2 linked regions of the Rhinolophus ferrumequinum genome follow. The protein of the gene in region 2 binds, or shares a complex with, the protein of the main gene of each other region. Links are inferred from orthologs where the notes say so. Each region holds a gene or a part of one and is shown on either strand. Other genes may lie near its edges.

Region 1 (8,223 bases), on a different chromosome or scaffold from region 2:
AAATATGTTTTGATAAACCTATATTGGGTAAAACAGAGACTCCAAGGCTTGGTTTCTGCTTTGCTCCTAGGATTCATGAAAAGAAAAGCTACATTAAATAATAAAGGGAATGTGGATGTGGACATATTTTGTTTAAAAATATAGGCTTAGAAGCTGTCAAAGAGGGAAATATGGAAGAGGAGATATGTTTAGTAGAAAATTTTCAACTTAAATATTGTGTGTTTTGCAAATGAGATTGCTCCCCAAACTATGTTTGGGAGAGCCTATGAAAAAATGGAGTTTGCTTTATGGCTTTTTCAGTTGTCTACAATTCAGCAGGAACTGAGAAGGCATGTAATATTGGGATAACACTGTTATTTATATTTTACAACCATATTTCATTTCTTTATGTTTTCAGATTATTTTATTAATTAGTACATAGACTTAAGGAAATTGAAAAAAGGTTAAGTGACTTGTTGCAGAAATAAGACCAGAACTTCAACTCTCGTTAGTCCTACTTAACCACTTTCTATTCTCAAATTTTGTGATTTTTACTGAGTTTAATAAGGTTTTCAGATTAGCAAAACTGGAAGGCATGAGAAAAGTATCTTTTTAAGTCAAATATTTCACTTGGGATTTTCCCCCTATGATCCCAAATTATTTAACACAGGAATCACCTCACCAGGATGTTCTGGTTGGCAATCTTCAGTAGAGTAGCATTCCTGTCGGTACAGTACTGCTTACTCTCTTCCCAGGTCAAGTTGTGCCTGAAGAATCCATAGCAACTATCTCCATGATATCTCCAATTTGTGTCACATGGGCTGCACTTATGGCCTTAAGAAGAAATCAAACATAGGAAACCTTTTATTCTAAATCAGACTTACATATTCCCCAAATTCAATTTTTCCTATAGATCTCAAGATTTTCTACAGATAGCATCACAGAAATATTCCAGGGATAAGGGAGATGAAGAGGTTACCAAACCATACTTACTGAAACCATTCTTTTGTTCTGATTGTTTTACTAAATTTTGGCAGAGCTGCTTTGCTAATTGTTGCAGAGATCCTGAGAGATTTTCATTCTCAACTTGTAGGTAGTTTTGCTGCGTGAGAGCTAAATGTAAAAATTAGTTAATAGTTTATAATCAGAATAAAAAAATACTGCAAAGACATTTCAATAAACTTCAGTTTTACTAGAATTATCAATCTATGAAGGGTTTACAAGATACACATGAGAAATGAGTGCTGACAAGGGACCAGGGTCAAGGGGTGGGGTATAAAGAACAAATTAAGAACTAAGCAAACTGACAGCTGAGGGTTATCCAAAAGAATAAGTGAACTATTTGAAGGAGGTAATCACAAATAAGAAAAGGCCATGATCAAATCACATGCCCAAAGAAGTTGTTTTGAAGTTTCCATACTACAGATTTCTATGCAGATCTCACAAATGTGAATAAACTCTCTTTTTTTGTTTTTCATGTAATACCAAAATATCCATTTATTTAAAAGTTACATATTGATTGCCTTTTATGCTGAAAGTATTGTAATATTTAAGTAAATAAAAAATGGTGAATGAAAGATTCTAAAATATGAAAAAATAAACAAGAACACAAACAAGCAATAATTATATAGATGATAATGTGACTTTGGAGGGCTTTTAGATTTAGAGGGAAAAAATGCTTATAAATTAGGTGGGATATTAATTAACTCTTAGGAAGTAAATACATTCATTAAACAAAATGGGGTGGAGGACATTTTAGGAAGAGGGAATAGAATGAGCAAAATCCCAGGCAGAGAAACATGGGATGTATTTGTGAAACTGAGAAAACTCCATGTTGGCTGGATCTTAGGATTTGCAGGATTGGTAGAAAAGAAAGTTTCAAAGGCTAGTGTGAATCTATGCTGAGGGGGAACTTAAGGACCAGTTAAAAATTCTTGAAAATAATTTTTAATTAACAAAAAAATCTAAATGGTGATTTTAATTGGAAGGGAAAGGTTAGAGTTCTTATTGAGAATATCTTAAGAGCTATGTATAGGATGACTGGAGTGGTGACAAACTGACAAATAAGTTAAGTTTAGTGGCCTACATCAGGACCCTTCCTCGGATGGGTCCTGGTATTGCCTTCCTCGGATGAAATCTTTGGCAATGAGTCAGTACTTACACATAATCCCCAGAGCCACTAGTCCACCAACCAGCCCAATACACAAGACCAGCAGAATCAAAGCCATCACACGCCACAGAGATGAGGAAGGAGAGTCAACTGTGGGCATACAATAAAAATGTCAGGGGGCAGGCAGTATGGCATAGTTACGGGGCAGCACCTCTCCTGGCCCTGCCAACTCAGGATTTTTTGAGGCATATAAACAGCATTATTGGCAGATCTTACCAATGTTCCCTCAGTGATCATCAACAGTAAGCACAACCCAATTCCATTCCACAAATTCATCTTCATCCCTAGTGCATTTGTCTCTGAGTCAAAATACAAGTAGCTGTTAAGATCTTATGTGTTTGTTTTGTTCTGTGACCAACCCTCCCCACAAATAATAATAATGATAATAATAATAATAATAATAATAATAATAATAATAAATAATTGCTTTAATAAGCAGGACCTGCAGAATCACACCCATTTGTTGACATCTTAAAAATGGGTTTTCAAACCTTCTTTCCCCTTACCTTCCTTGGTTTGTATTCCCTCGACATTAAACTCTATAAACCTAAAGTAGCGTTCCCTGCTTGTATCTTTTCTTGTTTGTATTCTAAATAAGTCTGTCCGAGCCTATGTAGATAGTACTCAAATGTTATAGAAAAAGAAAGTCATTCAGGAAAGTAAAAGAAAACTGTACGTGCTGTCACTAGTTAAAAAAAATAAAGTAAATTAGGGTTGACGTATTTCAATAATTAATTTCCAAATTGTTTCCTCTGGGCATTCTTACCTGAGGTGAGAGCTGGTTTTCGAGTTTTAATATTTAAGGTGATGTATCCATCTTCATCCTGCATGGCTTTCTATTGAACTGCAAGTGAGCTTCGGGTTCAACGACTTTACAAAATGTAGTGTCCACGTTTATGATTTCAGTGTCTCTCAGTCTGTGATCCTCCTCTCTCTGGTAAGGTGGAGACATGAGTTGGGGCATATATTTGTTTCTTTGGTTTTTTTTTTTTTTTTCTTTCTTTCCAGGAAATCCTTACATAGCTCCTCAGAGATACATGAACCTTGGACATAAAAACACAAAAATAATAATAACTTGTGGTAAAGGAGTAGATACAGCATTTGTTTCCTTTTTCCTTATCTTCAACTCTGAATGAAGGAATATTGCATCACGTGTATCCTTTCAAAGAACAAAAGTTCACACTTTATCTTAACCCTTGCAGAGTCTAAATCATATTGTTTAAATGAAGTGATTTCTGATAAAAATTCTATCCCATTGTGAGGAAAAAGTCTAATATACTTTGATTTAATATAAGCTAAATTAAATATTTTATGGTGTTATGTTAGAAGACACCATTTCTAATTCTCATCTTGACTTCAACCAACTGCTTGCATTTTTCACAAATCAAATTCTTTATAAATTCAATTACTCCACACAAGGCATACTTCTTGAGCCTAGGCATCAAAGGCAAACAGTCATAAAGTGAAATAATACATTTAGTGACTTCATGTATTGACTTTTAGTGATGTTTGTCTTTTAAAGTGAATTTCCAGGAATAGAAAACTCTTAACTCAATGAAGTCATGTAATTTCAAGTATAGCTGTGCTTAGATGAACAGCTATTTGGGAAAAGGATGGTTTCCTAGTATCCTTTACATCACAATATAATATGTATTCCACACATTTAAGTTTATGAAATGTGTTTTTAAATTGTCATTTTAGCTTATATTGAAAGCATTTATATAATAAGAACACCCATAGAAAGTTAGCTGCTGTACTTATTGTAGGAATATCAGTGAAGGTACTATCTACTTTTTAGAATCACTTTTATATAGTTTTATAGCAGATATTTTTGTTAAACATCCAGGCCAGAAAAGTTTCTCTTTTTCTGAATAACTAGTAAACATTTACCTTCTAAATGATTCTGTTTCTACTTTTTCTTTAGTTAATAAAGTGTTAGACTTTACTTTTCAATATAGTAATTACATAGGATTTCATGACAGATATTTTGTTTACTAACTTTCCTCAGGCACTTCTTGTATACATGTATTATTTTCTTCTTGTTATCTCCTGCACTCTGAATTCTTTGTCAACTCACTTAAAATAATCTTTTATTTTAAAATGTCTTGAGAATGGTGAAAGAATAAACAAAACAGCATGAAAAGCATTGCCTGATCTAAAAATCCCAAACTTACCATGATTTAAATATTTTTAATTAATTTTTGTTAAATTTATTGGGGTGACATTGGTTATATTGGTTTCAAGTATACATTTCTATAACATATCACCTATATGTTGCATACTCTGGGTGTTGACCACCCAAGTCAGTTCTCCTTCCATCATCACACATTTAACACCTTTTTCCCTCTTCTACCACTGCCCCGCCCCCTCTTAACCTCTGGTAATCACTAAACTGTTGTCTGTGTCTATGAGTTTTTGTTTCTTCGTTAGTTTGTCTTATTCCTTTGTTGTTTTCAGTTTTATATCCCACATACGAGTGAAGTCACACAGCTCTCGACTTTTTTCTGACTTATTTCGCTCAGCATGATAATCTCAAGATTCATACATGTTGTCGCAAATGGCAGTATTTCATCCTTTCTTATGACTGAGTAATATTCCATTGTGTATATGTGCCTCATCTTCTTTATCCAATCATCTATCAAAGGACACTGGTTGCTTTCATATCTTGGACACCATGAATAATGCTGCAATAAGGATACATATATCTTTATGGATAAATGTTTTCAGATTTTGGGGGTAGATACCCAGAAAAGGGATTGCTGGGTCATAGAGTAATTCTATTCTTAATTTTTTGAAGAACCTCCTTATTGTTTTGCATAGTGGCTGTACCAGTTTACATTCCCACCAGCAGTGTATAAGGGTTCCTTTTTCTCCACAACCTCTCCAACACTTGTTATTACTTGTCTTGTTGATCACAGTGATTCTAGCAAGTGTGAGGTGGTTTCTCATTGTGGTTTCGATTTGCATTTCCCTAACAGCTAGTGAAGTTGAGCACTTTTTCATTTATCTGTTCCCCATTTGCATGTCTTTTGGGGAGAAATGTCTCTCTAGGTCCTCAGTCCATTTTTTAATTGAATTGCTTTTGTGGTTGTTGATGAGTTGTATGAGTTCTTCATATATTTTGGACATTAGCCCCTTATTGGAGGTGTAGTTTGCAAAATATCTTCTCCCATTCGGTTGGTTGCCTCTTTATTTTGTTGATGGTTTCTTTTGCTGTGCAGAGCTATTTAGTTTGATATAGCCCCATTCATTTATTTTGGCTTTTACTTCCCTTGCCCTTTTGAGGTCAATAAATGGTGCTGGGAAAATTGGAAAGCCACATGCAAGAGAATGAAACTAGGTTGCTATCTGCCACCACATACAAAATTAACTCGAAATGGATCAAAGACCTAAATATAAGACCTGAAACAATAAATTGCATAGAGAAAAGCATAGGTACTAGATTTCTGGATCTTGGGTTCAGAGAGGATTTTATGAACTTGACCTCAAAAGCAATGATTTAAATATTTTCACCAAAAAATAATCCTTAATGAAAAATCCCACTTACTTTAAATAAAAGTCAAATGTGATAATGTACTAAAAATGAAGTAGTTGAATCTCTTAAATCCCCAAATCCAGGAGTACTCTGGACTTACTTCTTGATCCATGCATGCTTAAAAGTATACATTTAACATCAGAAGTAAATAAAGCTAAAACAGGTAACAGGAAGCCTCAGATGATATTCCTTTGCTATGTCTCAGTCTCTGGAATATAATTCATAATGGTTTTAGGGTCTTTGATGACTCTAGCCACAGACTGAGAGTCTTATGTCTAGATCTATATTTCATAAAAACATATTTGCCTTTATTTGTATCCCCCAAGAATAGCTTTGTGCTGTTGGAAATATGTTAGCTCTGAGTACAGAGACTCTCAATGGAGCTCGTGATAACATTGAGTCTTAATTCTGCTTTCTCCCTCTACATGTCTTATAAATACAAGCTGAGATACTCAGCAACAATTAAACAGAGAACTGCAGGACAAAGAGCATAGATATCACAAGCTTTCTTTTCTCTTTTCCAAAATCTAGGAGCTTTGCTAGATAACTCTTAATCATGCTACTAGGCATATTATTGACATATTTTAACTTTGAACTTTTAATTTTACCTTTAACTTTTCACTTGAATATTTCATTACTCCCTCTTTTTTTGGTTCAGGGAACTAAAAAAAATCTGAAAAAACATTCTTTATTCCAAACAAACTTATGAGTTTGAATTTAGAATAAAAACCTTTATTTGTTTACTATTTAAGAGGCACTTTTACATGAATTATCTCTTTTATTTTAAAGCAGGTATTTAATTAATGTTTATTGTATTTCAGACACCGAAACTGACATTGAGCATTCATAGAGAAAGTCATGGTACTAGTCCTTATGGAGCACAGAATCTTAGACTTTTGCTCTCTACCCTTTATTTTTCAGTATTTAGAACAACTTCCCTGACCCCACTGCACACCAGCCCACATCTCATTCTGCTTCCATGTCTCACTCTTTTCTGTAACACCTAACTATCTGACACACATAGAGTCTTCTTAGATATTTAAATTTTTGTTGTATATCCCCTCAAGAGTGTATTCCATAACACTAAAATAGTGACTGACTTACAGTTACCACCCAACAGATACTGGTGAATAAATGAATGGATAAATATATGTACAATGGGTATTTTCATTCTAATATTACTCATACAAAAAAAGAAGTTTAAGGAAGTTGGGGGCTTCTGTGATCATATTTCTTGTAAAAAGTAGTACCATCTTCCTGGTTTCCAAGGTCTTTTCACTACCCTATGATGTCTTTTTAAATTTAGGCATTGTCCAGACACCATTATCTATGTTTATAGCTGAAGAAGGAGTAAAAGACACTAGGGTGACAATGACAAGTTGTAAATGCAATACGAAAAGAAGTTAGTGGAACGCATAACGTGACAGATAAGACTGATCAATATAAAATGATGGCTAGTGGGTGTGTGAAAGAGAAAGTGAAAAAGAAAATAATGTTGAATGCTATAATAATGTCTCTAAACTGAAAAAATATGCACAGGAACTGAGCATTTTGCAGTTGGTGATATCTTTTTATAAACTTTTTAATGTATATCACCTTTAAGCTAATCCTTAGGTGCATTTATCGGTGATATTCTGTTGCCTCTTTCAGTCCTCTGCATTAACATTTTTGGTTCACCTTTTACTGACTAACCTCTTACACACATTAAATACTGTTTATTTTTGGAAAAGGCTAGGATTTCCTGTCATGAAAAAGGCATAATTAATATTTTCTCTTTATCTTCAGAAAGCTTGAACATGTGGACTGAAGTTAAAATAAGCTGTATTAAAAGTTAGTGAATTAAACAATGAATAACTATCAGACAGCAATTATGGTAGAGCGTTTTGTTAGACGTAGTAGAGAAAATGAAGAAAAAATATGTGTGAGACTCCATCTGTACTACTGAGAAGTTTTTCATACACATGCACACAAAACATCTGTAAGTAAACATGTTAAATGATCACAAAATGGAATATATAAGACTTGAAGGAAAGGCAAAATTTCATGAGAGAGAAAAAGAGAATGTTTACCATGAATGGCAAACATCTGAATGAAACTATATGTTTGAATGAGCATGTGATCAAGAGGCAGTGAATTGATCAACCATATTTAAACTAAGGATTCATTTCACAGCATGTTTGAATAGAAGGTGTCCTATTAAAATGATTGTAAAACTTACATGGCAGGCACAATTAATAAATCAATTACTAGAACATATATTTATTGGCCACTGTTTATGTTTCAAGTACTATTCTGTATTCTGGAGATCAAATGATGAAAAAAACGTACAAGAGTTGCACTCTTACCAAGCTTATATTTTAGTGGGGGAAGGGGGTGGACACAGGTAGCAGAGAAGCAAAGGAAGCACAGAGCAAGATAATTTCATGAGAAATGCGATGAAGGAAAAAAAAATCGGATAATAGATCTCTACTGGTCAGGCTTGGGACAGGCCCTAGCTGTGTTCATTTGAATTGATTTGTTTAACTTTTACTAGGAGTGC
Region 2 (8,255 bases):
GTTATTGTTTCAGGTTTTTGTTTTTCCGGCAGTGGACGGTAGCAAAAAGAGCTTGGGGTTTGGAGTTAGACCCATTTTTAATCTCAACTCTGGCAAAGTCTGAAGATTAAAATAAAATTTAAGGAGTGGTGATGATTACATGAGGTAACTGTGACACACCTGGCGCGTGGCGGGGAAGGGAGCGGGAATAGCTGGGAGGTGACATCCTTCCTACTTGGGCAGACCATCCACGTGATGCCAAGGTTTGGGGTCTTTATCATTCTAGGGAATGGAGTTACTCATGGGCCACTGATTTCAGAGGCCAGAGAAAGAGACCAGGGGCCTGCCGCATACCTCTGCTCAGCCAGGGCTCCTCCTCCCTGTCTGCCATGTCCTGACTTAGCCTTCTCGTGCTGGGATACTTTTTTAAAATGTGCTTTTCTGTATTAAATGCTATTTTGGCTCCTACACACCCGTGTAATGGATAGGCCTCCCTCACGAAGGCTCTAACAGATCTGATCTTTATTAAATGCTTGATCAATGCCTTATGTGCTACACACAGTCTGAGCAACCGATGAAGATTTCAAGGCCTCTGAAACTGGCAAGGGTTTCGGGGAAATCACAGGCAAGTTTGTTTGCCTCATGATTAATCCTGGGTGGATTGATCCCGGAAAAGCACGCACTTGTGGGTTTGCAGCAAGCAGCAGCCTGCAGAATTTCACCAAACAAACGATCTAATGGAGAGGCCCTGAGGTATGTTTTGGATGAAAGTTCAGAGGGAGGGTGGGGCCTGACAATTGAGGAAAATGCCAGATGTGTGGACAACAGAGGGCCTTTGAGTCCACGCACATCCAAAGAGACAACCCACGGGACCAGATTATAAAACTGAGCCAGATTATAACACTAGAGGAGGGAAGCCCAGTGGGAGAGTGGGATCCTGTGAGACGGATCATAAAATTCATCACCATAATTACCCACTGCCCCCCCCCGCCCCCAGCTCCCCAACAAGAGCCGACAATAGCTCAGCTCAATGAAGTTATTCATCCATATGCAAGTTGCCTCACTCATTATCCTCAGACAAAACCCCTCCTGGGCCTCAGCTCCTTGCCAGCAGGCCAGCAAATCAGTGTCCCCACACAGCCATCTCCCCTCACCCCCCACAGCCTAGGGGGCTTCCGTCTTTAGCAGTCCAGTTTCTAGTACCAACCACGGCTGTATTTTCAGACAAGGTTTACCGCTACCTTTTAGGAGTCCCTTTGACACTCAGGAACTGGCTTAAAGATAATTACAGCTAACCCTTCCCCGGTCACAAACAGAGAATGCCGTCTTTGCTCAGCAGGGCTGGGAGGTGGCTCGGTTTGGGGGACCTCCCACACCTCGCCCTGGTGAGCACAAAATGGTGTCATGTGCACTCTGTCTCGCCAAAAAGGAAATGTAACTGAAAGGCAGAGCTGTCTATATCACAGTGGAAAGAGAAGTTCCAAAATAGGGCCACCACGAGAATAGCCCCCCCGGGCCTATAGACAGAGTAGTTCCTTCTCTCCAAAGCAACCAGCCCAGCACTGAGCACACTACTCCCGGTATCTTTTCCCTAGGGCTAAGGATGCTCTCCTTTGTGTGGAAATAAGGAAGCCTAGGTGACGTCTGCTCTTCCCTCAAATCACGCCCTCCAAGGATTTCTCTAACCTGGATCTTCAGTTTGGACCATGTAAGAGTTTACTTTTCAGAGCACAGAGCTCGGCCAGCTCCAACCTCAAAGATCACGCGTTAGCTTACAACTCCTTCAGCCAACATTGAGTGAGCAACTCTGGCACGCAGGACATTGGTTTGTTCCTGGGGATCAAGGCTAAGACACAGCTGTGTCCTTGGGCGCTTATATTCTACGGGGGAAAACAGATAATAAAGACCCAAGAAAAGAAATAAAGTGATGACAAATGTTCACGGATGCCATCCACGCAGTGCGCTCCACAGAAAGACGCAAAGGAATGAGAAGAGGATGAGAGGAAGAAGAGGGCAATGAGATGGAAAGATGTAGGCGACCGGCAGGCAGTGCCCCCAGCATCGGATCTGATACATTTGAAATCTAAGGAGTCACCAGCATTCCTGCAGTAACTCAGATTGTTGGCCAAGTTCGACACACAGCCCCAAAGAGCCACCTTCCATTCGCTTGCGTTACTCAGGAGCCGTCCACTTCAGTCCTGTCCATCCACACTACCCCTCTCTAGGAGGAGACGGGGCCTCTTCCAGCTCATCCCTGTTGGTTGGGTCCTAAGTGTGTTTTATGTGGGTGCACAGGGTGTAAGACCTGGCAGCCCCCAGAGAGAGACCACCACTGCACAGGGGGAACCCTCCCCCCAACCCCAGCACTCCTGAATGTCCCTCCCCATTCCATGGGCCCCATCTCTTCTGAGGCCATGGCATTTCTCCAGTACAGCCCTGTAGGAAAGCCCAGTCCTGCCAGTGGGAAGCCTCCTTGCTCTTATCTGTCACCCTACCTCTTGCGAGCCGAGCAGGGGACAGCAGGAGGTGGGCTGACAGGGAGAGAGGCCCCCTCTGCTCCCCACCCTTGCTGCCTGTAGGGTTCCGGGGCTCCTCCTCGAATCCCGCTCAGCTCTTTCTATGGGACCTGGCACCCGATAAGCCGCTGTCTCTCCTTCTCCTGGGTCCTCCAGACTCGAGTACTCACACACTCCCGGCCCGCCCTCTGCTCCCCCGGGCAACCTCAAATCCCAGACCCGGGCATTTCAGCAAGTCAGGGCTAGCTCACCCCCACCAGCGCCTCGCACCGAGTCTTACTTACCTCCTGCCAGAATTCCCGATGCTCTTCCCAAAACCAACAGCAAAACTGGCACCTTCCACATCTTCTTCCTTAACTTGCTCCCTTGGGGGTCGAGCAGCTCGTTTCTGTGCTGAGGGAAGATGAAAAATCTGCAGACACAGGCCTCTCCTGGCAGAGCGCGAACGTGGGGGCTGGAATGCGGGGAGCAAAAGTCCCAGCGCGGGAGGGGTCCCTAAGCTTCCTTCGCCCGCGGCAGCTGGAGGAGCAAACTTTGCAGTTGGAAACTTTGGGAGTGGAGTCAGCATTTATCTCTCCCGAGGAGGGCGGGAGCGTCCCGCTGTAAGGTGGTCTCAGTCTGGGCTCCCTGGGACCGCCCTCTTGCTCTGTTTGGCCAGCGTGAAAACGATGACCTCAGGCCAGGTTTAAAGTTACAGGGCTGCAGCTGTGGGGGCTGCCAGGACGCGTGAAGGGCCCTGAGCGCTGGCAAAATTGTTTTTACTCTGTTCCCCAACAGGAGGGAAAGGGGGCGCATGCAGTAAGCGATTTATTTTTTAAAAATTTTAAACTTTATTTTATTATTCTGGTTTTTTAAGCGCAAGGCACAAAGCCTAGGTTTTTCTTGTTATGAGAAGTAAACTGTTCCTTGTGTGGCCAGTAATTTTAGAACCAAGCATGGGATTGTTCTCGTAAACACTGAATTGGATGGCTTCAAAAAGGGGGGGGGGGAGGGCTCCTCATCTGGGTGGGCCAGAGGCCACTCATGCTGGTAAATTGCGCCCTTGTCCAGGGGGGACTGGAGCAGTAGCTGCCGGAGAGACCTGGCAGAGAGCTTGGCAGACGCTGTGGCTGTGGCAGTTCCAGAGAAAAGGCTGAGCTCCAGACTAGCCCTCCTGATTTTGGAAGTAGCGCTGCGATGCTGGGGCCCATGGTTGATTGTGGGCAGTGGGATGAGGTCTGCAGCCCGAGGACGTCAGCAGGCCCACCTGGTCACCAAACCTGTGTTCACTTCCAGTTCCAGCTGGTTCTCTGTAATCCCGGAGTTTGACCCCATAATCCCCACTCTGCCTGTTCAGCAATCACCCTGATCGCAAGTACCGGATGCTAGCAACAAGCAGAGTTTGTATTAGGTTGGTGCAAAACTAATTGAGGTTTTTGCAATTATTTTTAACCTGTTAAACCGCAATTACTTTTGCACCAACCTAATACTTTATTTCCTTCTGAACTGTTGGAATTGAAAAACACAAAAAATTAAGAAGAGGACTTGGGGAAGTGGCCCTGGACCCACTCCCAGCTGTCACCAATTTCATTCAATAAAAAACCTGAAGACTAACACCCTAAAGCTCCATATGGGGGTGAAAATTGGTGGTTTTCAGATCTTTATCCTAGACTTACTTATCCAAATTCACTTAAAAGTTACCTAGGAAGACTGCTTTAAGAGCTCAGATTCCTGGATTCCACCCCTACTCATTATCCATACCCTTTGGGAATTCATATTTGAAGCCAGTGTCCCCAGAGAACTTGTCCACAGGGATATTTAGTGTTAAAATGCAGGTGCAGCCTCTATGGGTCTGGGGGGGAGGAAGGAAGTCTGCATTTCCAAAGATCCCCCACGTGATGCCTGGTCCGGGAGCTGACACCTGAAGGAAGCAGAGGAAGGGGCCCAGAGAGGCAAGGCAGTGGAAAGGTAAAGAGAAAACTGGAAATAGATCAAATCTGAAGTGACTTGCCCACCTTGCTATTACATTTTATTATTATTACTGCATGTTCAGAGCAGGCATTGTCTGTTGAAACCGCTAGACGGAGAATAGATGCAAATCCACTCCAAAGTCAAGAAAAAAACAAAAAGGCCACCTTCACTCGGAAATGGAGATGAAATGAAGCTAGGTGGGAGAACAGGTTAAGTGCCGCTGATTTAGAGGCTGCTTAGGGCCAGGTTATTATTAACAGAGATGCCTCCTCTACCCTCTGCCCCCGCAGGGAAGTGTCTAGATTCTACCAGGTTGATCACCTGACCTTCTGGTAGAAGATGGAGGAGCAGGTAACAGGGAATTGCATCGTGTTGGAGGCCATCCTGGGGATGGGGAGAGGGGCCAGGACCGGGGAGTGTAAGGACGGGGTCCTGGTGCTGTGGGTTTGAGTAACTGAGGAGAATGGCTGGGCTTGGGGTGGGGAACCTTCCTCAACAAGGCAAACGGCAGAGCAGAGGGAGGGGATGCAGCCTCAGTGCACCTGAGTGGGGCACCTGAGTGACTCGGGGTAAGTAAAGAGGCGTCAGTGAACGGGTGAAATTCAGAAGCCTGAGACCAGCCCAGATGAGGGGAAGAAAGGGACAAGCAGGGAACACACCAGAAGATTCCTCCCTGCTTGTGAAACAGCTTGGGCTCCTAAAGTGCTGACTGGTTAGATAGCGGGGACATTTACCCAGCACACCAGGAACTCCAGGAATCCAGCACTATCTCCCTGACTTCTCGAAACGACCCAGGGTGAGAACACTGATAATACTTTATGAACAAGGACACGGGTTTCCAGAGCAAAGTGGTTTTCTGAGGCGTGTGCATCGATTTGCCTGGGTGGGGCCCAAGAAGTCGCATTTCTGACAAGTTTCTGGGGCCCTACTTTGAGAAGCACTGGGTTAGAGACCACACAAATTCTCCAGCAGTGGGGGTGGGGGTGGTCCATAACGAGAGATGGAGCCACCGTCCCTCTATTGCAGGACTAGTGCTGTGTCTCGCTTCAGGATCTAGGGGGAGAGGTCTGTAAGTTGCCTTTAAGAAGCAAGAGTCCCTGCCCTGTCCCCCGGGGTTGGGGACTAGGCTGCAAGAGAAGGAATCCAGCCAGAGCATCCAGCCTGGGACTCTCCACACTGAGGGATGCTGGAGAGTGAATGAGGATCTCTCATGTTCCCTGCATTCTGGGAGCAGCGGGCCAAGCTTCCCAGGCTGCCTGGGAAGATTTCTCAGCTTCTTCCCTGGCTTCCCAACACACCCTCCCTCGGAGCTGAGGCAGCACCTGATGGGATCTCTGATGTCAGAGGCGCCTCTGTGACTCAGGAATAGATCTGCAGTTGGAGGTACGAGCTGGGGTTAGCAAGAATGGAACAAGCCTGCGGGGGACGGGGGCGGGGATGGTGAGTGGGGAGAGGCACGGGGACTGAAGGAACCCAGAGCAGCTTGGTTTGCTGGGAAAAGCCTCAGTGTTTTGGAATCAAAATTCAGCTCCCTGGTGGCCTTGGGCAGCATAGGCCTCAGTTTCTGCTTCTTTAAAATGGGCATGTAATTCCTACTTTGGAGAGTTCTATGCACAGCAAAGAGTGTGACTGCTGTGATTGCTATGATTAGTCCCTGCCTTGTCCTGCCTGGTTCTCAGCCTCTTGAGTCCTCGGGTGCCCACCTGTCCTCACCCGAACACTGGCCAGCACCACCTGCAGGGCAGAGGTTCTTGACATGGACCCAATAGAACTGGTTCTTTTCAACCTTAGGAAACCCAGCTGGTCCCACACACAGGGATTCAGCATCAACTCGTCCTCTCTGCTAGTCCAACCCTCACCTTGGGCCTTATTCCTGAGAGGCCCCACCTGGATCCTTGTTCATCTCTCTGGGTCCAAGGTCCCCTCTGGGATGCAGATTACCTCCCAGTTCCACCCAGGAACTAGCTAGCTTCTGCACTGCGACTTGGAGGCTGGCTCCTGCATTCATTGCATGAATAGGAAGCTAGATTGGATTTCTGACTCACTGGGCTGTCTCTGTCTGCCAGAACACCCCATTGCTTTGCCAGGGGTCTCCCCAGTGCTTAGTGACCCCTCCTATTGTCACACTCAAACTGTCTCATGCCCTATTCCAGTGGGCTGCACACAATTGTACAGACCCCCTCAAGGAATGTTTAAAAACTAGGTACCAATGAATCTTCATTGAACAGTTGAATAAGTATATGTTTCACTGGAGGTAGAACATACTGTGCTTCTCCGAAAATAAGACCTAACTGGGAAATCATCCCTAACATGATTTCGTCAGGATGACATCCCCTGAACATAAGCCCTAGTACGTCTTTTGGAGCAAACCTTAATATAAGACCTCGTCTTATTTTCGGGGAAACAAGGTATTAAACACTTCATAAAAAGAAAGATGAAGACTGACTGTAATTGGAAAACATATTTAATGAGATGACAATAATATTGGCCGAGTAAGCACACTGACCATGAAAAAAAATTACATAAAATTTTTATCTGTGAATTTTTTTTTTTTAAAGATTTTATTGGGGAAGGGAAACAGGACTTTATTGGGGAACAGTGTACTTCCAGGACTTTTTTCCAAGTCAAGTTGTTGTCCTTTCAATCTTAGTTGTGGAGGGTGCCCTTCAGCTTCAAGTTGTTGTTCTTTCAGTCTTAGTTGTGGAGGGCGCAGCTCAGCTCCAGTCCAGTTGCCGTTGCTAGTTGCAGGGGGCGCAGCCCACCATCCCTTGCGGGAGTCGAACCGGCAACCTCATGGTTGAGAGCCCACTGGCCCATGTGCAAATTGAACCGGTAGCCTTTGGAGATAGGAGCATGGAGCTCCAACTGCCTGAGCCACCGAGCCGGCCCTTATCTGTGAATTTTAATTCATACAGCTTGATAATTTTTTTTTGATAGATCTGGAAACCTTTCCAGTTACACTTAAAAGGGTTAGCATCACTAACCGTCTTTTTAAAAATGATATGCGTTTATTAATTTTTCATTATAAAAATATACATTTATTAAAGAAAATGTAGAAAAAGCAGGAAAGTAGAAAAATGATCATTTGGCCAGATTTCTTTGTGTATTTGTTTACTACTTTTTCTCTTGACAAAATTGCAAATCTGCAGAAAAGTTGCAAGTGCAAGCATTCCCATATACCTTTCCTCCAGATTCACCAATCTGTTTGTGTTTTGCCCCGTTTTCCTCATCATTATCTCTCTATTGATACACATTTTCATATTGGTCTTATTCTGAAACCCTTGAGAGTCATGAAGATACTGGTGCCTTCTGGCCCTAAATAGTTGGGTGTGAATTTCCTGAGGTCAGGGACATTCTCTTTGACAGTCACAGTGGGAATTGTCAAATCACAAAATCTAATATTAAAACACTATTGTCTAATCCACGCTGCACATTCACATTTTGACAAATTTCCCAGTGATACCCTTTACAGCCCTCCCCCGCTCCCCATGCACAAGAATCTAATCCAGGACCGCACAATGCAGTTGGCTGTCCCGTCTCCAGAAGATACTGGAACTCTGCTTCCGCCGTTCTTTGTCCTTCTTGAACTTGATGTTTTTCAAATGCTATGGGCCTTATTTTGTAGACCATTCTTCAGTTTGGGTTTGTCTGCTCTTTGCTCATGATTAGATGCAGGTGTGCATTTCTGGTTGGATATTGTAATGCTGTGTTTTCTCAGTGAGTCACCTGAGGAGGTCCAGGACACACGTCAGTGCCCAGTGCTCAGGAGTATTACCTTTGACCCTTTGGTTACAGGAATCTTATCCTGAA

Evidence for each region.
Region 1: the proteins of PDPN (region 2) and CLEC1B are in contact, whole or in part, in a crystal structure (PDB 3WSR), measured with the Homo sapiens proteins. The link is inferred for Rhinolophus ferrumequinum from reciprocal best matches to the Homo sapiens genes PDPN and CLEC1B. Residues at the interface, in NP_006465.4 of Homo sapiens: Ala46, Glu47, Asp48, Asp49, Val50; in NP_001380271.1 of Homo sapiens: Arg107, Phe116, Arg118, Arg152, Thr153, His154, Leu155, Arg157.

Annotation. Positions count from the first base shown.
Region 1 is NC_046293.1:25,787,651-25,795,873, reverse strand, and holds the start of CLEC1B (C-type lectin domain family 1 member B), read right to left. Parts: upstream 3,179-8,223; 5' UTR 2,980-3,178; coding exon 2,916-2,979; intron 2,240-2,915; coding exon 2,141-2,239; intron 1,093-2,140; coding exon 973-1,092; intron 814-972; coding exon 662-813; intron 1-661. UniProt on the Homo sapiens protein: C-type lectin-like receptor that functions as a platelet receptor for the lymphatic endothelial marker, PDPN.
Region 2 is NC_046292.1:8,864,796-8,873,050, reverse strand, and holds the start of PDPN (podoplanin), read right to left. Parts: upstream 3,062-8,255; 5' UTR 2,841-3,061; coding exon 2,780-2,840; intron 1-2,779. UniProt on the Homo sapiens protein: Mediates effects on cell migration and adhesion through its different partners.